2 linked regions of the Callithrix jacchus genome follow. The protein of the gene in region 1 interacts with the protein of each later gene in a biochemical or structural test. Links are inferred from orthologs where the notes say so. Each region holds a gene or a part of one and is shown in the gene's direction. Other genes may lie near its edges. The genes, in order: MIS18BP1 and MIS18A.

The links.
Region 2: the proteins of MIS18BP1 (region 1) and MIS18A form a complex in vitro, tested with the Homo sapiens proteins (2 studies listed by BioGRID). The link is inferred for Callithrix jacchus from reciprocal best matches to the Homo sapiens genes MIS18BP1 and MIS18A.

The regions. Positions count from the first base shown.
Region 1 is NC_133509.1:79,847,205-79,862,708, reverse strand, and holds the start of MIS18BP1 (mis18-binding protein 1), read left to right. Parts: upstream 1-8,494; 5' UTR 8,495-8,680; intron 8,681-9,281; 5' UTR 9,282-9,293; coding exon 9,294-9,346; intron 9,347-13,917; coding exon 13,918-14,552; intron 14,553-15,504. UniProt on the Homo sapiens protein: Required for recruitment of CENPA to centromeres and normal chromosome segregation during mitosis.
Region 2 is NC_133522.1:38,416,418-38,431,889, reverse strand, and holds the start of MIS18A (protein Mis18-alpha), read left to right. Parts: upstream 1-7,237; 5' UTR 7,238-7,262; coding exon 7,263-7,593; intron 7,594-10,726; coding exon 10,727-10,793; intron 10,794-15,472. Other genes in the region: small ribosomal subunit protein eS27, read left to right, coding at 3,774-4,028. UniProt on the Homo sapiens protein: Required for recruitment of CENPA to centromeres and normal chromosome segregation during mitosis.

The DNA.
Region 1 (15,504 bases):
AAATGTCCCTCTGTTTGTAATAGGCTGACCAGGGGCGGTGGCTCACACTATAATCCCACCACTTTGGGAGGCTGAGGCGGGTGGACCGGGAGGTCAGGAATTTGAGACCAGCCTGGCCAACATGGTGAAACCCTGTCTCTACTAAAAAGACAAAAAATTAGCTGGGCGTGGTGGCACATGCCTGTAATCCTAGATACTCAGGAGGTTGAGGCAGGAGAATCACTTGAACCTGGGAGCCGAGACTATGACACTGCACTCCAGCCGGGGCAAAAGAGCAAGACTCCCCCTCAAAAAAAAAAAAAGGCTAACAATTCATTAATCTTTGCTCAAAGAAAAAAAATAATCTCAGCTAAGTCAAAGGCAAGTCCTTCTAACTCTGGAGATAAATATTTCCTTAGTTCCAGCTGGTCTAACCTCTTTCTCTCTCCTTCCTTTTACATATTTCTTGGGGAACAAATATCTTTGTGTCTGTCTCCAGGTGCTCACCTCTTGATTACACTGTGACTACCATAACCAAGCTTCTGCCCTATGAACCTGCTGTCCCCAAGGTCCCATGATTGCTAAATCCAAAGAATATACTTTAACCTTTATTACATTTGCGTTTTGGGCAGCATTTGACATTAGAGAAAAAATAGTTTCAAATCGCAGATCTGTAATAATAACAATAACAACTACCATGTACAAAGTACCTGATAAGTGCTAAGTGTTTTATACATGTTGCCTTATTTAAGCCTCACAATGATTCGATCTCACTAATGAGAAAATAGAGATAAAGAAACTTGCCAATAGATATACAGAGAGTGAGACAAAGAACTGTTTTTGAATCAGGGCTGACTTTAAAATCCATTCCCTTAATGACTATGCTATTTTCAGACCTATGTAGCATGCTGCCTACTGGCCAGTCCCTCTTAGATGTTTCAAGGGAAATTCAGAATGACCAAGCCTAAAACTAAAGCTATCTTCTTAACCCCAAACAAACCTTTCTCCAGTATTACCTACTTCTCTAAATGATACCATTATCCATCAAATTGCCCAAATCAGAAACAAGAAGATTTTCTTCAAAAATTTTCCATCTTTCAAGTCCTACATCAAACTGATCATTTAATTCTGTCAACTACATTACCTTAACTTCTCTCCAATCTGCCTGTCTCCACTTTCCGAGCTTTGGATGAGGCCCTGATCATGTCTTGTCATGACAACTATGAAAATTTCTGAGACGGAATTCTCATCCACAGTGTCATCCCCTTCTAATCAATTCTCCACAGACTGTCAAAGTGATTATTCTCAAGCTCAAATGTTGGTGAGAATGTAGACCACCTGGATCACTCCCATACTGCTGCTGGTGGGAAAGCAAAATGGTATAGCCACTCTGGAAAATAATTTAACAGTTTCTTTAAAGCACTAAATACTTCTCATGTCACCCAGAAACAGCCATCCTGGGCATTTACCTCAAAAATGAAAATTTAGTCTACATAAAAACTTACATATGATTTTTCATAATAGTTTTATTTGTAATAGCAAAAAACTGGAAATAATCAAAATGCCAATCAATAGATGAAGGGTTAAACAACTTGTGAGTACATCTGTAAATAAAATGAACAAACTATTGATATACACAACTTGGATGCAAGTGTATTATACTAAGTGGGGGAAAAAGCACCCATCTCAAAAGGTTACATGTATGATGATTCTGCTTATACAACTTTCTTGAAAGGACAAAATTAGAGATTAAATCCATGGTGCAGTAAAATAGACACTTACAATTTACCATCACAGAGTACTACCTGAAACAACGACCCAAGGAACCTGACTTTGTTTTACGTAACTTGAAACCTATTCAGCATGAAAAAAAAAAGCAGCTACACAGAGGACAAAGATCATGTAGAAAAGACATGAAACAAACAAATGACCATATTCCACAGGAAGCAACAACAACAACAAATCCTGAGGAGAGAGAAAAATACGATGTCCAGAGTTAGCATATTTTAATATTCAAATGTCCAGTTTCCAGCAAAAATGTTAGGAAGCATGCAAAGAAACTAAATAGTATGGCCTATTTACAGAAGAAGTTAATATGAGCTCTAAGGAAGAACAAACACTGAACTTATTAGACAATAATTTAAAATCACCTGTCTTTTTTTTTTAATAAAGACAGGGTTTCACCATGTTGGTCAGGCTGGTCTTGAACTCCCAACCTCAGGTGATCTGCCTGCTTGGCCTCCAAAGTGCTTGGATTACAGGTGTGAGCCACCACACCTGGCCTAAAATCACCTGTCTTAAATATGCTCAGACAGCTAAAGGAAACCACAAAGAGTTAAAGGAAACCAGGAGAATGATGCCTTAACAATAGAAAATATCAACAAAGACAGAAATTATCAAAAGAAACCAAGTAGAAATTGTGAAGCTGAAAAGTACAATAGCTGAAATAAAAATTCAGAGGGTTGCAATAGCAGATTTGAGCAGGCAGAATAAAGAATGAGTGAACTTAAAACTGTCAATAAAAATCAAAATTATCCAGACTGAGAAGCATAAAGAAAAAAGAATGGCTGGGTGCCATGGCTCACATTTGTAATCTCTGCACTGTGGGAGGATGAGGCAAGAGGATTGCTTGAACCCAGTAGTTCAAGACCAGCCTGGGCAACACAGCAAGACTCTGTCTTTACAAAAATTAAAACCAAAAAAAATGTTTGCTAGGTATAGTGGTGCAAGTCTGTAGTTTGAGCTACTTGGAAGGCTGAAGTGGGAAGACCTCTTGAGCCCAGGAGTTCAGGTATGCAGTGAGCCAGCCATAATTGTGCCTGTTAGCCTGAGTGACAGAGCCAGACTCTGTCTTAAACAAAAGTAAAATAAAATAAAGAATAATTACTGGAGTCTTTAAAAATCTATGGGAATAATCGAGAGTATCACCATACATATTACAAGAGTCCCAGAAGGAGAGGAAAAATAAAACAGTGGGAAAAAATGTTGAATAAATAACCAAAAACATCCCAGATTTTGGAAGAACCCAAGAATCTCAACAAACTCCAATAAAGATAAAACAGTTCCACACTGAGACACATAATAATCAAATTGTCAAAAGACAAAGACAAATAAAAGAATCTTAAAAGCAGTGAGAGAAATGATTTGTCACATACAAGTGATTCTCAATCATAAGCACATCTGATTTCTCATCAGAAACTATGTAGGCAAGAAGGCAGTGGGATAACATATTCAAAATGCTGAAAGAAAAAGACTATCTACCAAGAATTGTATATTCATTAAACTGTCCTTCAAAAACAACAGAGAAATTAATATATTAGCATGTAAATAAAAGCTGAAGAAGTCTGTCACAAGTAGACCTTTACTATAAGAAATACTAAAAGGAGTTCTTCAGACTTAAATAAAAGAAAACTAAACAGCAACTCAAAGCTATAAGAAGAAATCAAGACATTAGATAGATATAACTACATCTTTAAATACAAAAGCCAGGACTGATATGTTTTTGGTGTGTAGTTTCTCTTTGTTTATATGATTTAAAAGGCAAGTGCATAAAATAATTACAAATCTATGTTGCCAGGTGCGGTGGCTCAAGCCTGTAATCCCAGCACTTTGGGAGGCCGAGGAGGGTGGATCATGAGGTCAAGAGATCGAGACCATCCTGGTCAACATGGTGAAACCCCGTCTCTACTAAAAATACAAAAAATTAGCTGGACATGGTGGCGTGTGACTGTAATCCCAGCTACTCAGGAAGCTGAGGCAGGAGAATTGCCTGAACCCAGGAGGCAGAGGTTGCAGTGAGCCGAGATCACGCCATTGCACTCCAGCCTGGGTAAGAAGAGCAAAACTCCATCTCAAAAAAAAAAGAACAAAGACAAGTGCATAAAATAATTACAAATCTATGTTAATAGACACACAATGTATATAGATGTAATTGGTAATAAAAGAAACATAAAGGAGAGGACTCAGCTGCTTAGGAGCAGAGTTTCTGTATGCTATTGAAACTAAGTTGGTATAATTTCAAATGCGGTTATTATAGATTTAGGTGGAAACAACCCAAATGTCAATGGAGGAACAGGTAAATAAAATGTGGTATACACACAATATGGAATATATTCAGCCATAAAAAGGAATAAAGTTCTGATCTACAATGTATAATTTTTTAGGTATATAAACCTCAGGAAAAAAAAACTGTGAAGGAAGCTAGACATTAAAGGTCCATATTGTAATATTGTATGATTCAATACTGTGGGAAGGGGAGAAGAGAGAGTGCTTAAGAGTTATGGGATTTCCTTTTAGGATGATAAAAAATGTTTTACAGGTGATGGTTGTAGAATATTGTGAATGCACTAAATGTCACTGAATTGTACACTTTAAAATGGTTACTTTAAGAGAATTTGACCTTAGGATTTTTTAAAAATTAAAAGCCCTGACCATGCAGAAACATGAAAATATTCATACTGTATTACAATTGCATACCACAGGCAGTTCTTTTTTTAAAGAGGAAACAGAAAATAATAGCATGCACTGCATAGAGTAATGTTAAGTATAATGCTTTTAAAGCTTTTGTTTTAGTTAAGTGTAGTTTTGTATAATTATTAGGTTATAATGTACAATATTTTTTATTGTGGATTGCAACAAAAAAAATGGAAAGTGCCTGAAAATAAAATCTTACTGCTACACTCTTTTAATTATTCTTCTGTGACAGGCATGGAAGCGTGCAACTCTGATCTTTCGTTTAAAAAAAAAGTCACTGAGCTGTGAGGAGTGCAGTTTGTTGGGAAAAGCATCAAAGGAGAAAGGACTTACAAGTTAACTAACAGCCTCTGGCTGCAAAGCCTTTGACATCTGTTAAAGCCTTTGTGCTAAAACCATCTTCCCAGGCAGCCTCCACCCTGGCAGATACCAGGGCCTGGCCTTGTCTGCCCACTGCAGGACTTCTCTTCCTATTGGGTTAGCCAAGACTCTGTCAAATCTCTATTGCAATCTTAGACTGCCCCTACCCAATTCCACTTGCATCAATCTTTCCTTTTACAAATGTCAGATCTGTATCAAGATCTGAAGATTTACCAGGTCCAATTCTTCTTCCTTCCCTTTAGTATTTCACAAGATATACTTCCCAAAATCCTACTTCCAACTTGGCATTAGCTTCCGGGGTAATGCAAACTGATATAACCTTATAGCTCTTATCACAATTTGTAATATGATATGAGTTTATATATTGCCTCCATCACATAGCAATTTCCTCAGCTGCCTTTTTTACTGAAGGGTCCTCCTCTCACAAAACCTGGATAACTTCCTCATTGCCTCCCTCCTGTAGCCTGTACAGGGGAGTAATGGTTTTACTTTGTGCCTTCCATAAAGGCATCCTGCTAAGAGAGTAAGAGGGGGCTGAAATCCTGTTTCAGGGCTACATCTGCCAAGAGCAGAATTTCTCAACCATGGCACTACTGACATTTTAAAATAGTTAATCCTTTGTAGTGGTGGGGGGCTGTCCTGTGAACATTATGATGTTTGGTAGTATTATCTGTCCTTGCCACCGGTACTCTCCCTAATTGTGACATTTATAAATGTCTCCAGGCATTGCCAATTGTCCCCAGGGGGGAAAAACTGTTCCTGCTTGAGAACCTTTAGCTTTGATGAAACAGCATTTTCCTACTTTCTCCAAAAGTGTCATACGGTCAGTTAGTAGTCCTGCTAGAACTTATCACAGTCCTGGGAATATTCCTCCAGGCTAAGCAGGCCCAGATTCCTTGGTAGGAACTGGCACACAGTGTGAAACTTTCAGTCTCTTTTACCTTCATTTTTTTTAGACCCGACATGGGTCTGCATGTGTTTCCATGTGTTACAGGCCTAGGATGGGACAGATTATCCCAAGTGGCTGACTGTGAACTGCAAAACCACATCCAATCATCTTCTCATTATAGTCTCCCCTCCAAGCAGACAGAAACTTAAAGGAGGACCAACCCAGGGCAACATTGAAACCACCTTTGCAAAATTATGACTGAGACGGTGAAAGAGATCTAACTTAACCGACTCCATCTTGCTTCTAACCTCCACGCTGAAGTAACTTTGGGAGAAACTTAAGTTTGTAGTTTATAGTTTAAACAAAGACGGTAACAACCCTTTCCCAAAGGAGATCTCCTTCTTGCCTGGAGACTAGATTGCCTTTGTAGAACTAACATTAGTCACAATATCAGAAATTATGGTTTGCAGCTGGAGGTTACAAGATTCTGACCCTCCCTAATCTGCTCCTAAGATCAGTGCTTGAGATATTTTGCAGACCCAGCACTTAAGGGATCAGCTGACACCACCCAGAGCAATAAACTGGCTCATTTAATCTTGTGACCTCCCACCCCGAAACCCAGGAACTGACTGAGCAAGAACACAGCTTCCACATCCTATGATTTCATCCCTGACTAATCAGCACTCTAGTTCACTTGCTCCCCACCACCCACTAAGTTATCCTTAAAAACTGATCCCATAATGCTCAAGGGAGACTGATTTTAGTAATAATGAAACTAGTCTCCCACACAGCCAGCTCTGCATGTTACTCTTTCTCTATGGCAATTACCTTCTCTTGATGAATCAGCTCTGTGTAGGCAGCAGGCAAGGTGAACCCCTTGGGCAGTTACAGCATGTTGACATTAATGGACAGATGAACACTTTCCCTTGGCCACTAGGCCTCCTCATCACACTTTGCTATCCACAAACTGTTTAATTCAGTTTTGCTTGGAAAATTATTAGTCATCTTATGTAAATTCCTGTGACCATTCATGTTGGAGCATAATATATGCTACTTCCTTCTCACATGAGAAGTGACTAATTTTTAAAAATGTGCATTTCTAAGTGCCTGCCATTAATATTTCAGGGTTCCTATTTTGTCTAAAGGTGTGAGCCACGACCATCTTCATCGGGCACAGAAACCTCAATTTCAGATGCTTTTGAAATCGGAATGCCAATCCCTTCAAACTTCCTCTATCAAAGTATATTTCATACACGCCATTTAACCTGTTTTAAGGCGGGCTTTTCCCACAAACCTAGTGGAAATCCATGTCCAACCATTTTCTCATTATGATGTACAAGCAAGAAACTTCATTTTATTCAAGTAAATTTGCTTCCTTTCCCCTACCTCCAACTGTTGTTTTTCATTACTTGCAGTCATGTGGATGTTTTATACTTATATTTTGGATTCTGATTATTCGGTGTAGATATAGGACGACTTAGGAGGGATTGCAAGTCACTTTAAAAAAATTAATCCATTACAATCTTTTCAGTATAGGACTCTAAGTCTTAACAGGAAAATGTGATATATGACCAGGAAGCTGACCAATTTTCTTAGATGAACGATAAAATAAAAAGAAACTCACTTGTCACAAATGCGGATGAGCGGTGGAAGAGGGCACATTTCATGCAGGATTGGAAGCGGACAGAATTTGGGGCTGAAAACACGCCTTATTACCCTGGCTTCCACTTCTCTACTTTCAAGACTGAACCAACGAGTTCTATACAAGGCAAAAGATACACCTGCGGTGGTTAAGAGTGCAGATTCATTGGGCGCAGTCTAACGAGGGACGCAGCCTGGAAGCCACTGTTAGAAACTGCATACTGCAACCTAGAGTTGTCAAGATTAATGTTTCTAGAATGAGAGGTGATTAAAAAAAATCTTTTTAATCACTTCCTGGCACGGTGCAGTTGCTTGCCTGTGTAATCCCAGCACTCTGGGAGGCCGAGATGGGAAGATCGCTTGAACCCACGAGTTCGAGACTAGCCTGGGCAACATGGTGAGACCTGCTCTCTACAAAAAAAAAATTAAAATCAGCGAAACCTCGTCGCGCGCGCCTGTAGTTAAAGATACTGGGAGGCTGAGGTGGGAAGATCCCTTGGAGTTTCAGGCTGCAGTAGAACCATTATTGCACTAATGCACTCAGGCCTGGGCGACACAGAGAGACCCTGTCCCCCACACCCCACCCCCACCCCCACAAATCACACTTCTTGTGGAAACCGTTCAAACTAAACATCCCACTTTGTGCGTAACTTTACATTCAATCCATCATTCCCTCAAAAACAAAATGTTCTTTATCCGCCTCAAACATGGAGGACTGAGAAAAACATAAGTTCTCTCAAACCCACGGAGCACGCAGATTTCCGGCGATAGAAGGGAGGGATAGCAGCCTTTACTGCGCACAGCCCGTAGGGGAGGACGGCAGCTAGAAAGGGCCAAACTTCACCGCAGCAGCGCGCGCGCGGCTTGCGGCGTCTCCGACGTCAGCCTTGCAGCGACAGAGCATCACCTGAGGAATGAGGGCATTCAAGTTGGGCGCGTGCGCTGCGAAGACGAAACGAATTAGCTCGCCCCTGTCTGTGACAGCTTATGGTCGCCTACTTTTTGTGGAAACACTACGGTCCACGAGTGCGGAGGCAGCCAGAAATTTGCCTGCGTCCCAGTAAGACGCACGGTGGCGCAATTCCGACCCTACCAATCCCAGGCTGACTGGAGGGCGGGCTTTTCAAATTTGAATTGCGGAAGTGTTGTGGGTGTTAGAGAACCTCGCGGAGTAGGTAAGCGTCGCTTGGGGCCCGGCCGTCGCGGGCAGGGGCCACCGTGGGCCTGAGACGAGAGCCCCGCGGCGTCCGGCCCTCCCTCCGCGCGGAGCCAAGCCTGCACTACCACAGTCTCGCCCTACCAGGCCCTTCACCCAAGGTACGTCCTCCTCGCGTCCTTCGCTCGCCTCCCGTCGCGAGTCCCCGCCGGTGGTGGGCGGCCTGTCCTTTCAGCACCTCGGCCCACGCCGTTTTATTATTAATTTTCGTAGATTTCTAGCTTTGGTACTGATTTTACAGCTGCGCACTCGATGTTTATTTGTTGCGTGTCTACTGCAGAGTAGAACACGATTGCTCACATTTATTTCTATGGTGAGCGTTCTAGGTCTTTGTTCTAAAGTCACTTAAAAAAAAAAAGAATACCAAGTAGGAAAATTGTGTGCCCTAGTACCCAACTCTTCCCCTTGGGGACCCAGGGCTACAGAAGAAGTTCATCCATTCAGTTTATGTTTTCTTCTAAAACACAGCTTTAGATATTAATAAAATTACTTAGAAAATGGTCCGGCGCGGTGGCTCACACCTGTAATCCCAGCACTTTGGGAGGCCGAGGCAGGTGGATCATTTAAAGTCAGGAGTTCAAAAAAATGATAGGTCACCTCACCCTGTCCTTCAGAGATAATACTGTTCACAATTTGGTTCACTTGCTTCCAGAGTTTTTCTCTATGCTTATATGTGTTTCATTTATTTATTTATTTTTACAGAAATGCAATTATATGTTCTGTTCTGCTACATTTTTTCAATTTAATATTTCTTGGATTTTTTCCATGTAAGTACATATATATCTTTTTGTTGAATACATGGAGTAAATTGTATGGATGTGGCGGAATTTATTTTGTCCTTTATTGGTGGACATCTGGGTTGTTTAATTTCATTTTATGGTGCAGGTACTGCAGCATGAACTTCCCTGTGTAGTGGTTGTGTACGCTATGTTGCCTGTTGGTAAAGAACTTAGACTTTGGAGGTAGAATTAGATCATCTTTCTCACTTACTGTTAAGTAAACCTTGGTCGGGTTATTTAACCACCTATACCTTAATTTCTCTCTTTTCAAACTGGGAATAACCACAGTACTTAACTCTTTAGAGTTGCTGTTAGATTATATAGTGACTGGCATGTCAATATTCAGTGAATATCGGCTATTATGATGCATATATATTTGCATTCTTATGTAGGTGTTTCTGTAAGAAAAAAACAAGTTAGAAGTGGAATTTCCGTGTCAGTGGCATACAGACTTGCATTTTGAAATTAATCTTTACCAATATGATATGTAAAAGAAGTCTCACTGTTACAGTTTGCATCTCCGTTTATTAGTAAAATCAGGTGTTACTTGTTTATTGACCTTTTCTATTTCTTCTATTAATTGTCTTTCATGTCCTGTGACCATTTTCTGTTTTGAACATTTTTTTTTTAATTGATTCAGTAGGTCTCTGAATGTTATGTAAATTAATCCTTTGTCATAGGTGCTGAGTACTTATTTCAAGTGTATCATTTACCTCTTAACTTAAAATTCTATTTTTTTTTTTTTTTTTTGCCAATCAGTTTGAGCTTATAAGGTTGCTCAGGTTAGCTTTGAACTGATGAATTCGCCTTCGCAAGCACCACGACCTCCGGCGGGAGCCACTTTGGACCCCTAAAATTCTATTTTTATGCCGAATTCTGTCTCCCAGTTTTGGTTAGTGTGCTCTGGGGTTTTTGACCCCTTCATAGTAATAGCTATTACTATTGTTACCAATACAGTAAATTCTTACAAGAACGTTCCATCTTTTGGGAGGAGGAGGAGGAGTAGTTATATTCAGGATCATATACATAACAATTGTTTAGCTTCAGTTCTGTGTTTATATGTGTCACTTATAACTGCCTGGGATATGTTCTGAGAAATACATTCAGGTGATTTTTGTCACTGTGCCTGTATCATAGAGTGTACTTATAAAAACCCAGGCTATATGTTATATTCTATTGCTCCTAGGCGCCAAACCTGTAACACAGCATGTTACTTTACTGAATATTGTTGGCAGTTGTAACATGGTGATAAGTATTTGTGTATCTAAACATATCAAAATATAGAAAAGGTTCAGTAAAAATAAGGTATCCTATGGGACCTCCATATGTGTGATCTGACATCATTATGCAGTACATGACTGTACTATAAATGCTATGGCCAGCCCTTTCCTACATGGTTTTCCCATTCCTTTGTCTTCATGTTGAAAACATTTTTTTTTTCCTAGTACATCAGCATTTGTCAGCTTTTAGAATAAGTTTTAAGGATTAGATTTTCCAAACAACTTTAAGCAGTTGATGAAAAGAGAAACATACTTTATCCAGTCTTAGAGGGAACTGACAATGAGTGACCTCCGTCTGTCAGGTCAACAAATGTGCTTGGTTGGCTTCAGGACAAACTATTCTTTCCTTCACTTGAGGGATACCAGTTATTTAGTCTCCACTAATGTCTGTGTTTCATCAGAGGCTGATTTATTTTGTTCTTTTAACTAGGAAGGAAATGGAGCTTCAGATCTGTCTTGGTTTATCTAGACCCAGTGTTTTTTTTTTTTTAATTTATTTACTCTGCAAAGCCTCTGTGGTCAGTGGAAATTGTAGACTATTTTTTTTCTCTTTATTCTGTCTTTAACAAACCCCTGGCAAATATTGGCTGCTTTTTTTTTTTTTTTTTTGACTTACATTGAGTTGCTATTTATCACATGGTGGGAAAAAGGTATCTTAGAGCAACTTTCTGCATCTTTGGGAGGGGAAGTGGAATTTGAAGGCTTTTCAGAATCTTGGCTACCCAATCTTTATCCTACTACTTGCGTGAATTGGGGGCAAAGATGTTAGGCAACAGAAATCTTTGTGCTGGTTCTTTGAGCCTTTCTATGTGACCACTATTATCTGCCTTTAAATGGATACACTTCTACATGTCCATTACAGATTGGATCTGTTTTCAGTGCTCTTAGCTTATTTGCAGTTTTTACTTTCTGCTTAGCATTTCATTAGGCTCTGAGGAATTGAGACTGTGTAAACCTGAACATTCTTTGCCATTTTGCTTTGCAGTTTTCCAGTTTATTTTATTTATTTATTTATTTTATTTTTTGAGATGGAGCCTCACTTTGTTGCCCAGGCTGGAGTGCAGTGGTGTGATCTCAGCTCACTGCAACCTCCGCCTCCCAGAATCAAGTGATTCTTCTGATTCAGCCTCCTGAGTAGCTGTGACTACAGGCATGTGCCACCACACCTGGCTAATTTTTGTATTTTTAGTAGAGATAGAGTTTTGCCGTGTTGGTCAGCCTGGTCTTGAACTCCTAACCTCAAGTGATCCTCCTGTCTTGTCCTCCCAAAGTGATGGGATTACAGGTGTGCGCCACCACAACCAGCCGAGTTTATTCATTTGTGATTTTGAGTGATTATACAGCTTTATTGTCTTTCTTTGAAATGAACAGCTAAGCCGGACATGGTGGTTCACTCCTTCCAGCACTTGTGGAAGGCCAAGTCAGGAGAATCACTTGAGCCAGGAGTTCGAGACCAGTCTGGGCAACAGGCTGTAATCCCGCCTATAATCCCAGCAATTTGGGAGTCCGAGGCAAGTGGATCACCCGAGGTCAGGAGTTAGAGACTCCCCCTGACCAATATGGTGAAAACCCATCTCTAACTAAAAATACAAAAAATAACTGGGTGTGGTGATGTGCGCCTGTGATCCCAGCTACTCAGGAGGCTGAGACAGGAGAATTGCTTGAACTCGTGAGGTGGAGGTTGCGGTGAGCCGAGATTGAGCCATTTTACTCCAGCCCGGGCAACAGAGTGAGACTCCCTCTCAAAAAACAAAAACAAAACATAGCTCAGGTGCAGAGGCACACACTACTACAAAAATTAGCTGGCTGTGGTGATGTGCGCCTATGGTCCCAGCTACTCTGGAGGCTGAGGTAAGAGACTTGATTGAGCCCTGGATTTCGAGGTTGCAAGGATCCCTGATCACATCATTGCACTCCAGCCTGGGTGAAAGAGACACTGTCTCAAAAACAAAACAGAAATGAAGCGAATGGTTAATATAACATCCAGCACAAGAACTCATGGAACTAGCACATAGTAAACATATACATGCATGCATTAATACGTATTTGCAGTATTCATATTATGTGGAAGAATTATAGCAGTTTTTAGAGCTCCAGACTTCAAAGATACCCCTCTTTGTTGGCTGTTATAATATAGGAATATTTTCCTTTTTTTTCTCTATTAACATAAATTATTGGATTAGATAATACTTTTTATATTAATTGCTTATTTCTTACAGATGTTCCTGTAGATAAAGATAATTGATATCTTTTGTCTGGCTATGTTAGAATTTTCTGTCATAGGTTTTTTTATGTTTATATGATATTAACTAATTGGAATAGTTATAAATTCAGCAGTAAGAGATGCTGTAAATCTAGACTAGTAAGTTCCAGGATCCTTGGACTGAAATATTTATTTACCAAATATTAGTTAATGTAACTGTATGGTTCCTCGCCTAGAACCTTAATTTCCAGGTGTGAATAATAAAACTTATACATAAGAAACAAGTTAAAGCAAGGCTAAAACTGTGTAAACTTAAGTACAATGTTTCTGCTAAAAATTTTAAATAGTATTACAAAAATCAGAATGAAAATAATCTACCATTTGAGGATTTTTCAACTAAGACTTTAAAATGTAAATGCTCTAGAGCATAAAAAATCAGGATTGGGTATTATTAAATAATTGAATAGTTTTTTTTTTTTTAGCTTTTATTAGAATAGATCATTGTAGTTGCTGCCTTAAAATTTAAGTGTCTAAAGAGAAAAATTATATTTGTAAAACTTTATCTTTTGTAACCTAATGTATTGCCATGTGCATGTATCATTTATTTATTATTTTTTTTTTGAGACAGGGTCTTTCTTTGTCACCCAGGCTGGAGTACAGTGGCACAATCATGGCTCACTGCAGCCTTGACTTCCTAGGCTCAAGTGATCCTCTCTGCTCAGCCTCCCAAGTAGCTAGGACTGCAGGCGTGTGCACCATCACACCCAGCTCTTTTTTTATTTGTTTGTTAATCAATGAGAGCTTGTAACGTTGCTCAGGTTGGCCTTGAACTCATGGCCTCACCTCCTCAAGCACCAGGACATCTGGCCAGAGCCACTGCGGCCCCAACCCAGCTCTTTTTTTAAGTAGACTTTAACAAAAATAAAATCTTAGTCTGATTTGTGAGCTATAGATTATCTAGCATTGTTATGAACCAGTTTAACATTTTAATTAATATAGTGTTGTGGAAAGCATATAAACTTTAAACCTTTTCTGCATCTAAGCATGATAAAGGCTGATTTTACATTGAACTACAGGTTTCTGTGGATCGCTGCTGAAGTTCTGTCTGAAAATTGTGCTGAAGTGAATTTTCTGTTAGAAGAACTTGCTTGCTACTGTCCTGTCAAGATGATTGCAACACCTGTGAAACATCCAAGAATTTACTTACCTTCAGAGACATCGTCTCAAAGGAAAGATCTACCCATGGATGCAATCTTTTTTGACAGCATACCTTCAGGCACACTTACTCCTGTAAAAGATTTGGTGAAATATCAGAACTCCTCTTTAAAGTTGAATGACCATAAAAAGAATCAGTTCCTAGAAATGACAACTTTTAACAATAAAAATATATTTCAATCAACCATGCTGGCAGAGGCTGCCATCTCTAACAGTTCTCTTGATATCAGTGTTATAAAGCCCAACAAGGATGGATTAAAAAATAAAGCAAACTATGAATCACCAGGAAAAATATTTCAAAGAATGAAAGAAAAAGTACTGCATGACAAGCAAGAACAGCCATCAAGAAACAATAGTTTGTTGGAACCACAGAAAAGTGGAAGTAGTGAAACCTTCACTCCTAACAGAGTTGGCAAAAATCTACTGCAGCATACCTACCTCTGTGAAGAAAAGGAAAACAACAAATTATTCCAGTCAGATAACAGTTCACTAAGAGGTTAGTTTTATGTGTTAGCTAAAAAGCTGTAATGTCTTAAGTGTTTAATGTGTCAGACACTGTTTTAGGTGCTAGAATATAGCTGTGAGTAAAATGGACAAAAATCCTTGCCTTTGTGTAACTCACATTCATGTGGTGGGAAGACATAATGAACATATTAAACAAGTAATTTTTTATGGCATAATAGAAAAGAAAAAGAAGAAAAAGGAGAATTAGGATGCTGGGGAAGAGTTGGAGGGGGATGTAATTTTCAGTGAAGTGGTCAGTGAAGCTTCAATAAGAAGATGGAAATTTGAGCCCACAAAATTGAATGAGATAATAGATATACGTATCTTGAGGAATGGGGAAGGATGATCTAGGCAGGTAACAGCTGTTATAAACGCCTTGAAATAGGAGCATGCCTGACATGTTGAATGACTAGCTAAGAAGTTAGTGTATCATGGAGTGATTAGATAGAGCTGAGGAGGGAGAAATAAGGGTGGGTCAGATAATGTAAGGGCCTTATAGGTAAATATAAGAGTTTTGCCTTTTACTGTGAGCAGAATAAGGCATTGGAGGGTTTTGAGCATGTGAATGACAAGATCTGAATTATGAGGGTTTTTTTTGGTTTGTTGATTAACCATTGAGTACAATGACTTAAGTTTTTAAAATACCACTCTGGCTGTTCTGAAATAGTTACTACAGTAAGCCAGATGACAGCCAGTGTTGGCTTGGTTCATGTGTTAGTAGTGAAGATACTAGGTGGCTGGACTCTGGCTGTGTTTTGAAGGGATAGCCAATAGGATTAGCTCATAGATTGGGTGTAGAATATAAGACAAAAAGATATAAAGGACAGCTCAGGGTGTTTTTTGTTTTGTTATTTGATTGTGGCCTAAGCAACCAAGAAGATGATTTAACTGAAATGGGACAGACTGAAGGAGGAATGAAGTGCGGGCTCAATAGTTAAGATTTT
Region 2 (15,472 bases), on another chromosome or scaffold:
GGTGGGAATGACTGATCACCAGGGCTAGGATGTCGCTTCCTCTGGGATAGGGCAGGAGTGAGTTAAGACCTTCAGGATGGGAGCCCACAACAGCCACACTGTTGGAGTGGTGAGAGGAGGTGCAATATTCCTGAGAGGGGAAGGGTACCTGACATATATCAGCCCAGACGTCCATGAGTCTCTGCAACTAACTAGATCTGTGACCTTTGAAGCACACCAGACCTCAGCTTTTCCACTTGTAGACTGACACATGTGGATCATGATGTGTGGATTCTTTCCCAGATGAAATATATTATGACTCGATGAAAATCATGTTCTTTTCCTTATTCTTTTTTAACTTCCATGAGAACCAAATATTTCTGTTAAGGACTGGAAAATCGTGATTCCACACACTAACTAGGAGAGGGAAACAGAACTATTTAAAGAACACCCTGCCTCTGAGGATTTTGGAGAAGGTGAAGTATATTCCTGCAGTTATTGTTTCACTCCCAGAACAGAGCTATAAATACATATCCACACTTTTCCACAGTGCATTTTATCCCCCTAAGGAGGGTTTGGATGGTGGCAGAAGGTCCCTCGGAGCTGAGTGCTCAGCATGGCATTCTCTTGGGAAGGCAGTTTTGGGTGCCATTTGGTCCTTAGACATATTTCTACCAATAACTGGATCAGGCCAGGTGTGGTGGCTCATGTCTGTAATCCCAGCACTAGGGAAGGCCGAAGTAGGGGGATCGCATGAGTTGCAGACCAGCCTGGACAACATAGCCAGACCCTGTCTCTACAAAAACACAAAAAGTTATCCAGGTATGGTGGCATGTGGCTGAAATCTCAGCTATTCGGGAGACTGAGGCATGAGAATCACTGGAACCTGAAAGGCAGAAATTGCAGTGAGCTGAGATCGCACCACTACACTCCAGCTTGGGTGACAGAATAAGACTGTCTCAAAAAATATATATATATATAAAAGATAAGGAATTGGATCAACTGGTCCTCAGATGCAGCTGCAGCCAACCCTTAATGCACCAAAGGGGCCAGCTGACCGATTCCAGTGACCTGTCATTATATCACATTAGTGTAAGGAAGGACATAAAATTAAAATATAGCCTGTGTTTGTATTCTGTAGCCATTAATTTTTTTCTTTCTTTTTTTTTTTGAGACGAAGTTTCACTCTTTCACCTAGGCTGCAGTGCAGTGGTGCAATCTCAGCTGACCTCCACTTGCTGGGTTTAAGCGATTCTCCTGCCTCAGCCTCCCGAGTAGCTGGAACTACAGGCACCTGCCACCACACTGGGCTCATTTTTGTATTTTTAGTAGAGACAGAGTTTCGTCATGTTGGCCAGGCTGGTCTCAAACTCCTCACCTCAGGCGATCCATCCCTCCTTGGCCTCTAAAATGCTAGTATTACAGGCGTGAGCCACTGCCCCTGGCCTGTAGCCATTAATTTCTGATTTTCCTCAATTGCCAGACCACTCTTAAAAGGCCATAATTCTCCCAAATTATCAAGATCCCATTTGTTTCTCCTCCTCTTTTTCCTTCTCTCTCCCAGTTATATTTTCTTGCTCTTCTCTCCCCTCTAGTGCTAGCCATTGATATAAATTAGATAATGAGCATTTGTTTGTAATTTACACTAAAGCTTCTGAATCAAGCCAAGCATTAGGGTTGAATCAGGTAGTTCAAGTAACCCGTATGTTGTGCAAGAAAAGACTGCAGGTCAGAATCAAAGTAGAACTCTCTCTCACGTTTTGCCTTCCGCTACGTAGACCTTCTTCAGTGACGATGGTCTTCTCTGTGGCCCTGGATGAGCACAAGGGCAGTGTGTGTGGGATATCTATCTTCCCATTCACTCTCTACCTTGCTCTCGTCTTCCCTGTGGCCCTGGATGAGCACAAGCGCAGTGTGTGGGGGATATCTATCTTCCTATTCACTCTCCACCCTGCTCTTGACCATGGTGAACTTGTATGGATTACATCAATATGCTCTGTGTCCTGTGGATTCCGGCTGGACGTGGGCAATAGGGAGTTCTGCTGGGATTTACTCAGGGTAGTTGGCAAAATATTGAGGAAAATATTAGGGGAAGTTATAAGATATAGTCTCAAACCTTTTGGAAGGCCGAAAGGTTTTCCTTAACTTGGAATAATGGAACAGGCTGAAGGTAGCCGGTTCTTACCTTAGAGCATTAGGTCATAGGATGAAGATTAGGGATAACAGAAGCTTCCCCAGTTAAGTCTGTTTACCCTTTTGTCTCTAACTACCTGTTTACTCGCGTAATCTTTGAGCCAGATGGTCCTCTGGTGGGGGGGGGATGTGTTAACCAGTGATATTATCAATCAATGGGGTTTACTCGGGGTATCGGCACCTGAGCTTTAATCTTTGGAAGAACTACGCTTTTATCCATGTTTTATCCACAAATGTGTTTACTCAAAGCCTTTGTTGTTAAATCCATACTGAATACACGTGAGGTAGAGCTAGTGGGGGGACTAGGTAGCTGCAATCGCCCTCTGAGAGCAGCTGATGACCTCCCTAGCCCACTTGTTCACCGTTTGAGTGCGTTGATTCATCCATCATGGAGTCACGGTTTGCAGGACAGACTCCTGCAGGTGGTGATCAACGTCTCAGAGTTCCAGCAGGAAATTGGTGGGACAGAAGAGAGTGAGGTCAGAGAATGTAGTCTCCTGCCTCCCTTCTTTTGAGGCCACCCCAGCTTGCTGTGACCCTGGAGGGAAGATGGTCATCTCAAGGTGTTCTGCTCTTCACAACACTCCTTCCTTCTGCTAACCTCTCCCAGCATCCCTCTAGGTTGAGGAAGAGGTGATGTTGGCTTCAGGGCTGCTAACCCGGATTCCTGCACCATCCTACATGGTTCTCTCCTACAAACCTTTGCGAAGAAACCCTCCCCATACTAGCAGAATTTTAGTGCCTCCCCTATGTGTTTTTCTAAGGCCCTCTTGGGGAACAGACAATTCTGCAGGCACTTTCATTGAAAGCAGAATCTCAGTGAAGAAATGGTAGCATCAGTCTAAGATACTAATCAACATAGCAATCTTCACTACAGGATGAGAATTGTTTTCCCTTTGCCCCAGGTAAGACATAGGCCACCCCAGCCTTCCTGATCTTCTCTCCTGGCCCCTTTGGGGACTCCCTGCACCTCCCAAATCCCAAGTGCATGTCCGTGACCCACTGGGCAAGGCCTCACCTCAGGCCGGCTCTCCCTCTGCCCTGATTGGTTCTCCAGGAGTGCTGTTCATTCTTGACTCACCAGTGGGGAGTCTTCGTGCTTCCAGGTTAGCTCCTTGGGCAGAAATTAAGACTCCGGGTGACTTCCTGCCAGCAAAGTTTAGATCTGGCTGACAACCTACCTTGTTCACCTTTGTTGTGCTACCAAAACACATGCAGCTTGACCCACCTGCAGGTCACCCTTGTCCCCAAGGGCCTGGGAACCAACAGGTATATAAATGCTTCCTCAAAGTCTCTTGTCAGCCAAACTGAGGCAAGGAGGCAGATGCTCTCTTCTCTATTTTGGGGGAGCCCATCCCCAAAGAGATCCTTCCAGTGAAGTCATCTTGGTCACCATTTTCTCCTTTCCTTTATATTCCCAAAGCGTGTGAGAGGAGGTTTAAGAGAAGAGGAAATCAGCTAGACACGGTGGTCCATGCCTGTAATCCCAGCACTTTGTCAGGCTGAGGTGGGTGGATTACCTGAGGTGAGGAGTTCGAGACCAGCCTGTCTCTATTAAAAATACAAAAATTGTCCGGCGGTGACGATCTACGCATGAGAACATGCCTCTAGCAAAGGATCTCCTTCATCCGTCTCCAGAAGAGGAGAAGAGGAAACACAAGAAGAAACGCCTAGTGCAAAGCCCCAATTCCTACTTCATGGATGTGAAATGCCCAGGATGCTATAAAATCACCACGGTCTTCAGCCATGCACAAACGGTAGTTTTGTGTGTTGGTTGCTCCACTGTCCTCTGCCAGCCTACAGGAGGAAAAGCAAGGCTTACAGAAGGATGTTCTTTCAGGAGGAAGCAGCACTAAAAGCACTCTGAATCAAGATGAGTGGGAAACTATCTTAATAAACACATTTTGGATTAAAAAATAAATAAATAAATAAATAAATAAAAAATACAAAAATTAGCCAGGTTTGGAGGTGGGTGCCTATAATCCCAGTTACTCAGGAGGCTGATGTAGGAGAATTGCTTGAACCTGGGAGGTGGAGGTTGCAGTGAACTGAGATCCCGCCACTGCACTCCAGCCTGGGTGACAAAGCAAGACTCTATCAAAAAAAAAAAAAAAAAAAAAAAGAAAAAGCAGGAGGAATCATTTCTCTTATATCTACTCTGAAGATTCCTCCAGGAAGGAGGGCAATCTGTCTCACACACACTTTGGCATCTCATTTTTACCTCATCTTCCAGTCTCAGTGGAAACTTCAATTTTAACATACTGTAACAGATGATTACATACATTTTTGGTTGCTAGTCAAAACAAAACAACAATTGAAACTGCCTTCCACAATAACTAGAACTGACTGGCTCACACAACTGGAAGGGTCCAGAGGCTGGGTGATTCCCTTACTCAGACTGGACAAAATTGAACTTGACCAGGCCAAGTTTTTATTCTGAGCCAAGCCTTATTGTCATTGGAGCACCATGGGTAGCCATCCCTGCCCCAGACACTAGAGGAAGAGTCATGGTCATCTGACTGATCGTGTTAAACCTCCAGGGACCCATTCCTGGAATCGGTGGTGATAGCGGTGGAGATGGACTCAACCTTCCCCACATCTCCTCATCGTATAACTAGGAGGTAGGATGAGAATGTAGTTCAGGAAGCAACCTCAACCATGAAATGCGAGATCGTCTTATTCAAGCATCTCATTTTGTCTCCCCATAAATATGATGATTTTGTGGTTAGCTGAAATTTTGTTTTGTTTTTTGAGACAAGATCTCGTTCTGTCTCCCAGGCTGGAGTGCAATAGCATGATCACGGCTTACTGCAGCCTCGACCTCTCAGGCTCAAGCCATCCTCCTACCGCAGCCTCACAAGCAGCTGGGTCTACAGGTGTGCACCACCATGCCTGGCTAATTTTTAAATTTTTGTAGAGACAGGGTCTCTCTATATTGCCCAGGTTGGTCTCAAACTCCTGGGCTCAAGTGACTCTCTCGCCTCAGCCTCCCAAAGTGCTGGATTACAGGCATGAGCCACCATGGCTAGCCTTGTTTTTATATTCATATTATTCCTACAAACACACTTGTGCCTATGGAGGAATTCATTTTGCATCAGCCAACTTCTTCATGAGGTGCAGGAGGCATCATGCCTAGGAACCGTGATATTAAGGCTCATGAAAATGTTTCAATTTTTTTAATCAGAAGAAAAAAGTGAACCTATAGGTCTAAAAAAGTTTTATGATATCATTTTAATATCATCTTCATAGCAGTGCAACTATAAAATGAAATTTTTATTAACTGTTTTATGGAGGGAAGGGCCTACCAAATCAAAAATACTCGGGCTGCTGAAAGTCACCATGCAGCTCGGCCTTGTATTCCTTCTTTCCTGGGGCATCCTATCATAGAATTTAAGTACTGACATTAGGAACTCAAAGTCTGAGAAAAGGAGATGATCCTTTGATTCCCAAAAGTAACCAGCCACTTACTTAAACTCATGTGGATTTTATCAATGTTGTCCCAGAGATATTATACTTGAAAACAACTGTCCAGGAAGGTCAGCCCTGGCTCCATAAAAGCAGAAGGGGCCAAGTATGGTGATGCATGCCTGTAGTACCAGCTGCTTAGGAGGCTAAGGCAGGAGGATCGCTTGAGGCCAGGAGTTCGAGACCTGCCTAGATAACATAGTGAGACACTATCTCTGAAAAAATAAAGAAAAGAAGAAAAAAGCAGAGGGTAGGAAGGGAATTCTATGGGTGGTAAAAAAAAAAAGCCTCAACTATCTGAAGCATTTTCTTCCAGTAAGAAGCTAATGAACATGAGCATGGTGTGCTAGGGTTAACAAAGTATTTTCATCAATATTAGAAAACTTGATCCTCTTTAACAACTTGGTGTAGTATTGAAGAATCAGACTCAGGGAAGGCAAACACCCTTTTCCGAAATTCCCTACATTATTACTGCCTTGTGGAGGGAGGGGTGAGTTAACCAGGACTACTGACTTCAAAGCCTTTGCTTTTTGCTAGTGGCCGTAAGCACTAAAATTGGAAGTACATTTATGTAAATAGTTCATGCAACTAGGGCAAGTAGACAGTGACTTGGGGAACATCCAGAGCGTAGTGGGAGCAGAGGTAGGTCCTTACAGGTAGCTTTCTTCCCAGGTATGCCGCCAGGCTGTCTGTGGTGCCGCTGGCTGGTTCCCTGTCAGCTTTCCTCCTGACCTGGGGTGTTTCAGGCAGAGGCTGGCTTTCCGGGCAGCTGAGGAAATCTGTCCTTATCAGCAAGAAGGGATGCTTCTCGAACCTCGCAAGGACGAATGATTCCATGATCCAAGCAGCAGGGGCGCTTTCAGGCTTTCCAGGGGGCACTGCTGCTTCCTCAACTTTTTCCTTGCAGTGACAGCCTAAGTGATCTGGGGCCGTCCCCAGGGTCTCATTCCAGGAATAACAATGTGCAAAAGGACCCTGTGATGAGGGTCACCCCCTATCCCCTGCCTTCTCCACTTCATGGAAAGGAGGCCCCCAGGAGCAGTGGTCATCAAAAGTGGAGCTGCTTATATACAACTATAATTAGTCCATTTACAAAAAAGAAAAGGGTGTTGGTCTGGCACAGTGGCTCACGCTTGCGATCCTGGCACTTTGGGAGGCCGAGGCGGGACGCTCGCTTAAGGCTAGGAGTTCTAGACCGGCAACATAGCAGTACTGCTCCCCACCCCCTAGAAAATGTGGGGCTGCCAATACTGACAGCGTGGGCACGCCTAGGAACTTGTTAGAAATGCAGATTCTCGGGCTAACCCGCTACCAACTGAACCGGAGTCTGGGAAAGTGGTTCTTAGACACTCAAGCTTACAGCCTGTACTTTTCTCAGTGGCGCTGCCCCTCCCACGGAAAGGGGCGAATAATCCCTAGCAAGACAAGCAAACAGGTCTGCAGCGTCAATTTCTTCAAACTAGAAAGCGTGACGCAAGCGCAGTGACCGCCCGCCGTCCTGCCTCCCCTAAGGCATTTGCCCCTTCTCGGCCTCCGCCACTGCGGCCTGCCCTGCGCATGCGCAGGGGCCTTTCTGTTTTTTTTTTCTTCCCTTGACGCTGTGGGGCGCGGGCGATTTGTAGGTAATGGCGGGAGCTCCGTCACTGAGGTGTTGCACAGGATGCGACGGCAGCTGTGAGTACGGCGACAAGGGCAAGTGCAGCGACTCCTCGCTGTTGAGCAAGAGGCTCTCCGAAGACTCGAGCCGCCACCAGCTGCTGCAGAAGTGGACGAATATGTGGCGCTCCACAAGCGAGGACGCGTCGGTGGCCGACACGGAGAAGGCGCGTCTCGAGGAGGCGGCGGCGGCGGAGGAGAGGCCGCTGGTGTTCCTGTGCTCCAGCTGCCGGCGGCCGCTGGGCGACTCGCTGAGCTGGGTGACCAGCCAGGAGGACACCAACTGCATCCTGCTACGCTGTTAGTTGGGTCGGGCCGCGCAGGGTTGGGGATTGGGGGGTGGGGGGTTGGGGGGTTGGGGTCGCCTTTTTCCAGCTCTGCAGCACCTGGGGGGCCCCGGAGGACAAGGAGGCTCCTTGGAGCTGCTCAGGGACTTTAAGAGCAAAAAGCATGAGAGTGTGAGCTGTCGCAGGAGGAGGGGAGGAGGGTCGCTCTTCCACTTCGGCTCTCGCGGGACGGGTTCTTTTCTGTGGTCCCCGATCCCAGAAGAGCAGCGGTTGAATCAGCACCGTCGTCAGCATGACTCAGAAACAAAGGGCAACAAAGAATAACGTTTTTTGAAAGGTCCTAAGAAAAGAGAGAAACAAATGGCTAACTAGATTGCAAGCACTTGAGGCGTAGCCAGCCCTACGACTCCCCACAGGAATTAGCGGGCTGTTGGTGCATCAGCGATGCCGAGCCGCAGAGCTGACATAACACAGTGCTATGGGGAAGAAAAGGACGGAAACGTGCAATAAAAGCCGCAGCAATCTCATCAAAATTAGCGAGGAAGGAGGATGTAGCAAAAGAGAAGAAGACGGGAATTTAGTTTCTAATCCTGGTTCTAGCAGTTATGTCTGTTTTTCCACTGTTCTCTCATTTTGCTGTTTTTGCAGTATTTAGGGATGAAGTGATTCACTTACATTTTTTCTGAATTGATGTGAAAATGGCTGTTACTTTTGGATTGTGGTTTTTCAAGATGAAGTTTTTCCTGTCTTTGAATACTGTAAATGTTTCGATGGCAAAAACTCACCATCGTCTTATCGATGTTTCTGGAACGTTTTCCTCAGTGTAATACTGAGAATAAAGGAGCACATCAGTGTCCACTAGGTAACTGAAAGTTGAGATTAACTCTTTGCACCTATTAAAACCAAACCGTGCACATTTTTGATCCAGTAGGGGAAGCTCTTTGTTTGAATGAGTTTACCTGATTTACATCTTTTTAAGAAATAACATATTTGGTGTTACAACTTTCATTTTATTTGTACTTTGTTTTGATAGTGTTTGTCTTTTGCCATGTGCGTCCTTTGTTTTGCTTTACATATAGAAAGGGTATTGTTTTGTTATTTAATTTTTATATTAATAGTTTTAAAATTTAAAACATAGTTTAAAAATAGCAAACATAGTTTAAAATTTAAAGAACTATACGTTTTTGATTTATCAGATTAGAGGGGATTTAACACCACCTTGCCCTCTCCCCCGACCCCAGTAAAGACAGACAAATGAACTCGGATTCATTTCCATTCAATTTGATAGTTTCATTGTTTTCATTTTGTCAAGGTTTATATATTTACATTCTGTACATTTACATTGCGTTTTGTAGCCATAACACAGCCTTTCTATTTTAATAGGGTTATTTATTTAATAGGTTTTTTTTTTTTTTTGAATAGACAAGGTTATAGTGAATTAAGGGTTGTAGTGGATTAACAGCCTACTGTTGCCCTGGCCGGAGTACAGTGGCACAATCATAGCTCACTGTAACCTTGAACTCCTGGGCTCAAACTGTCTTCCCCACTCAGCTTTCCAAGTAGCTTGGGACTACAGACATCAACACCTGGCTAATTTTAAAATTTTTTGTAGAGACTGAGTCTTGATGTGCTGCTCAGGCTGATCTCAAATTCTTGGCCCCAAAGCAATCCCCTGCTTTGGCCTCCTAAAGTGCTGAGATTACAGAGGTGAGCTACAGCACCTGATCCTATAATGTTTATATAAATTTATTTCCCAACTCCACTAGTCTTTACCATAAGAAAGCTTCTTAATAGCTTTTTCATTCCTGAGTTATTTGACTAATCATCATTAGTGCCCTTCTCCCCCACATCGCCAAGAAAATTTCAAGTTGATGTGCTTGAAAATGTTTTCCTGTTTTTAATATGTGAATGCTAGCTTGGCAACAGGTACAATTCTAGGTCATGCTGTTTGCTTTTAACAGGTGTTGAGCAGCTCATGCAAAAGCCCGGAGACTAGAATATGGTCAAAGAGTAAAGATTTAGGGAGGAATTAAAGGGCCAGAAAGTTCAGGGCCTTGAGGTCTGTCCTAAAGAATAGTAATCTGTTCTAGTGAGTAAACCGTGATGCTAGCTTAGGCAGGGGAGTAATATGACCCTGCTTTTTCTCTGGAGAAAACATTGAAGGAGGAACAAGTATAGAGTTGGGGAGGTCAGTGAAGAGCCAGAGCAGGAGTCCAGGCAAGAGGTGGTGCTGGTGGTTTGGGGGCTGGAGTGAGGTTTGGGAGGTAGAATGGATGGGATGATCAGTGGAGTAGATACCGGGAAGCAGGATGAGGAGATGAAGAATCAAGGAAGACACCTGGTTTCTGATTTCAGCAAGCACGTAGGTGGAGGTGGAGTTTACCAAGTTAAGGTAGACTGTAGGAGGAGGTGAAATTAAGAGTCAGTTCTGGTCATTTTAGGTCTGATGTCCCTTCTTTGTTTCTTTTTCATCCTCTACCCTGTCCTTTAGTGTGTCCTAGACCTGGATTCTTTGAGAATGTTTGCTGCTGCCTCTGGAGTCCAGCTGTGACCTCTGTCCAAGTCATTGTCCAAGTAAAAGATGTGTGGCTGTGATCCTGAGGACCGTCTCAGTTACTTTTAGAGAAATGGGTCCTGTGTTGGAAATCTGGAGATAGATGTGTTGGCTGTTTGCATCTTCCTAGGTTTGGAACCCAATTTCACTATCTGGCAGATAATTCTTTGCAGTCTGTGATTTGAGATTCTAATGGTTCCAAGTTTACTGTTAAATGAATTTTTCTCTCTAGGGAAAGGAAAGAAATAACCTTTTAACATTTTTCTTTAAAAATTTTTTTGTAGAGATGGAGTCTTGTTATGTTGTCCAGGCTGATCTCTAGCTCCTGGCCCCAAGCGATCCTCTCACCTTGGCCTCTCTAACTGTTGGGATGACAGGTGTGAGCCACTGCGGCTGGTTGGAAATAACTCTTATTCTGCCATCTTTTCCCAGAAGACCCCTGGTACTTTTAGTTTTGAACCACTCGTGTGTGTGTTTGACTTTGGGCTTATTTTTTGTCCTCCAAGTTCTAAAAAGTTGGATTAGAAATTCTCTAACTCTTTGCATGTATGTTGTAACAAACCACATTAATAAATTATTACTTTCTCTATAGGTGTTTCCTGTAATGTTTCCGTGGATAAGGAGCAGAAGCTATCCAAACGTGAAAAGGAAAATGGTTGGTGAGTAAAGCTGTATTTATATGAGTATGCTAGAGAATTTTTTTTTTTAATTAAAATCTTTAAAAGGTCGTTACTAGTAGTAAGATTACTTGGGATAAAAGTTTTTATGATAGTAAAAGTCAGTCATTCACATGTATCAGTTTTTTTTTTCTTTTTCTATATCCCATTTCAAAAAGGAGTATATCAATTCTTGAGTGGTTGTGGTCACCCTTAGATATTGAAAAATTAGAGTTTCTAGTTTTATAAAAGTGTATTCTGACACTCCCTTTTTGGATCTTTGGGCTTGATGCTGAAGAAAATTGAAAATAAAAATAGAGCTGGGCGTGGTGGCTCACGCCTATAATCCCAGCACTTTGGGAGGCTGAGGCGGGTGGATCACGAGGTCAAGATATTGAGACCATCCTGGTCAACATGGTGAAACCCCGTCTCTACTAAAAATATAAAAAATTAGCTGGGCATGGTGGCGCGTGCCTGTAATCCCAGCTACTTAGGAGGCTGAGGCAGGAGAATTGCCTGAACCCAGGGGGCGGAGGTTGCGGAGAGCTGAGATCGTGCCATTGCACTCCAGCCTGGGTAACAAGAGCGAAACTCCATCTCAAAAAAAAAAAAAAGAGAGAAAAGAAAAGAAAAATAGAAAAAGAAGGCCGGCATGGTGGCTCATGCCTTTAATCCCAGCACTTTGGGAGGCTGAGGTGGGCATATCACTGGAGGTCAGAAGTTCGAGACCAGCCTGGCCAACATGGCAAAACCCTGTCTCTACTAAAAATTCAAAAATTAGCCTTGTGTGGTGGTGTGTGCCTGTAATCCCAACTACTTTGGAGGCTGAGACAGAATAGCTTGAACCCGGGAGGTGGAGGTTGCAGTGAGCCAAGATTGTGCCACTGCACTCCAGTCTGGGCAACAGAGCAAGACTCTGTTGTCTCCAAAAAAAAAAAGGGAAAATACCTGTATTATAAAATCTCAGTGTTAAAGAGTGCCTTAGGCTAATGCTGCCCACCTTTCTCATGTTGTAGCACACATAAAATGCTGCTGTCACACACACATAGCCTATTGGGGTAAACAGATAAGGCAGGACCAAACAACACAGGAGCGCCAGCAAGCTAAAGTCCTATGTGGCTACTCTAAGGGTTGAGGGGACACACATCTTGCCATACCTGCCACCCATGTGCCATAGTAACACCTGAGTATACTGAGTGGGACGTGCTGCCCTGTATAATTGTTGCTCCAAATGTAAACTGTATCTTATACTCACATATGGAATAACTTCAGGTGGTACACAGTTAAACAAAAATTAGTTTTGTATGTATTTTAATGTATATTAAAAATACTGGTATGCTGGAGTATCCTATCAAATAAAGTATATTTAATTTTTAAAAAGTTACTCTATGCCGTTATGACCAGATCACCTCCTTATGATCCCACCTTCTAATACCATCACATTAGGTACTATGATTTCAACTTACACATTTAGCAGGAGACAGAAACTTAGTAGCTCCCCAAACCCTTTTAATTTCTTAAGTGATTGGGTGATAATAATATTTTTTGTTATCATGTTTGGTCTTAGGCCCCAGTTCTGATGCAAAAGCTTCTAAGATGCTTAGAATCTCTGGAGTGGTGGTAATGTCCTCTTGAATCCTAAAGAGATGACTGTGGCTGGGGGTTCCTAGGTAGCTTCAGGATGGGGGGCCAGAAAGACCAAGGGTCTTTTGAGGGTTGGAAGTTTCAGCTGTACCCCAACCTCTTCTCTTACCTCCATGGAGGGGAGAGGGGCTAGGGATGATGAGCAATGATTTAATCAATCTTGCCTATGTTATAAAACCCAAAAAACCCATAGGTTTTAGAGAACTTCCAGGTTGGTGAATATGAGATGCCAGGAGGGTGGTGTACCTAGAAAGGGCTTGGAAGCTCTGCGTCCCCGTTTCTGCAGTCTTTGTCCTATGTATCTCTCCCATAAAAGTAAAAAGAAAAAAACCGAAACCAGTACAGATAGTTTGTGGCTGTGACAAACTGTGGTGCTGGCATGTGGGCCATACGAATTAAGAAAACCCAGCCTTAGATCATTTCTCATTTTGTAGTTGAGGAAAGTAAGGCCCAGGGAGGTTAGAACTTTGCTAAAGTCACAGGACTAATTAGCAGGAAGAGCTAGGATGATGCTTGTTATCCCTCCTGACTTCCTTCAAAATGCTTTCTTCTCCACTTCCCAGCTCTAGCCATTCTGATGTCACCTTCATCATTTTTGCCCTATTTGTGTACTACCTACCAGCTCTGCTATTGCATACTTAATTTTTAAAATTAAATCGACTTAAAATTTTTATTTAAATTTTAAAAGGATTCTTTTTACTATCATCAACATATAACTTGCCATAACTAGAAAGCAATTGAAGATAATTACAGTGAAAACAAATGTGATTACTTCTAGCTGAGATATTATTGCCTGGCTGGTTCTCTGCCTGAAGTTTGTTCTCTTACTATTAAAAGATTTGCAACTGTGAGACAAGTGTCAAAGACAGTCTAGCACCAAACCAAGACTTTTTCCTTCTTTTTTTTTTTTTTTTTTTATTGAGATGGAGTTTCGCTCTTGTTACCCAGGCTGGAGTGCAATGGCGTGATCTTGGCTCACTGCAACTGCCGCCTCCTGGGTTCAGGCAATTCTCTTGCCTCAGCCTCCTGAGTAGCTGGGATTACAGGCACGCGCCACCATGCCCAGCTAATTTTTTGTATTTTTAGTAGAGATGGGGTTTCACCATGTTGACCAGGATGGTCTCGATCTCTTGACCTCATGATCCACCCGCCTTGGCCTCCCAAAGTGCTGGGATTACAGGCGTGAGCCACCGCGCCCAGCCTTTCTTCTTTTTTATAATCAGGATTGATAGAGAATTCACTCTCTTTGACTCAGAGCCATTAATACGGTTTGTTTGTGTCACCTAAACCCATCGATTATGCTGCCTTCAGTTGTGTTGGACTTCACTAGGGTTGTGTGCTCCACACTCCCATATTGCTTTGGGATGCTTGTGAATTTTTCCATAAGCCCATCCTGCGGAATACCTGCCTGAGCTATTCTGCTGATGGTCAGCAAGAGCACTGTTGGCTTTAGAAGTATGTCGTGAACGTAGCAGTGCTGTTTCCTCTGTTTAGTATGACTCTGTCCTTTGTTGAGAATCTTACGATCAAATTATTCCTTGTCTAAAATTACCTTAAGATTGTTGCCACTGCTTTCTCAATGTTATTGTTCAAGGAAAAGGGTGAATTCTGGCCAAATTCTTGCCAACTGAAAGCAGAAAGATGCTGGCTTAATAGTAGCTATCGTCTCTTCATTGCTCTAAAAGATGGTTGTAGAAGTATGATCGGGTTCATTCCTATTTTTGGTGGTGTTTAGGTTGATTTTGATAGCTCAGGATAGAACAGTCTTATCCATGGCTCAGTCTATTTGGGGAATTCAAGCCTTTGGTTTCTCTAAGTGTCCTTTCTTGGCTGATGACACTTACGTTAGATATTAGTTTGTAATCTTGGTAATGGTGCGAGGCAGTCTCATAATGGTAATGAGGTTTGATATTTAGCATGGAGGTTTGCTGGTTAACTGTGAGTAATATAGGTGGGATTTGTCAGCATGCTTTTATATTTCTTATGTAAAAACTTATACAAGCTGTCTGGGTATGGTGGCTCATGCCTATAATCTCAGCCCTTTGGGAGGCCAAGGTGAAGGATTGCTTGGGGCTAGGAGTTCGAGACCAGCTTGGGCAACATAGTGAGACTATTTATACTGTAAAACTAAAAAAAGTATAGAAACTTATAAAAGCCCATGGACACTTAATATGTAATCAGTGGCGTATTACTAGCTAATCACATAATCAGTGAGCATTCATGATGTAATCAGGTGGTGCTCCATTTTGTTCTTTGTTCCATATGTTGCTGTAATAAATAACAGTGCCTGTATCTTAGTATCTGTAAGTAAACAATGATGTAGTTTATAATCACTCCGTTTTGCCTGATAGGAATGGATATTTAGTGATTACAAGTGTTTCACGTACTGAGTAGGAGTTATAATACTTTTGCAATAGTATTTAAATCTCCAGTTATCACTTTGCTATGTGTTGGAATGGTAATTTTAGTGTATTTATACAATGGTAAATTTGGATGGGTCAGTTCAACAAGGCATTTGAGAGACGCTGGATTCTAAGCCAGATTTTAAGGAGACATGAATAGGATTTATGGGAGGGTATATTCAAGTGTGTGGAACCTGAGTTGAGAGATAATGAGAATGAAGGAACAATTACATGGGCTGTCATCTAACTTCAGAGAGTCTGTTTTTATTAAGCCAAACAGTATTACTTTCCACTAGAGCAGAGTTTGGTAAACTGTGACCCATGGACTGGGCACCCATTTGTGAATACGAGTTTATTGGAATGCAGATTATTCAGTTATGTATTGTCTATAGGTGCTTCGGTTTTACAGTGGCAGAGGTGAGTAGTGACAGATACCATATGGCTGGCACACCTAAAATATTTATTCTCTGCTTTGTTACATTTAGTTACCCAAAAATTCCTGTCCCTTGCCTAATGTGTTAATGCCCCTTGGTGGGCTTTTTGGACAACATGACATTAAAAGGACATGTAGAATCTTTTTGTGTATTTCCAAATTTTAGATTATTTTTCTTGTACCAGATAGAGGAATTTATATTC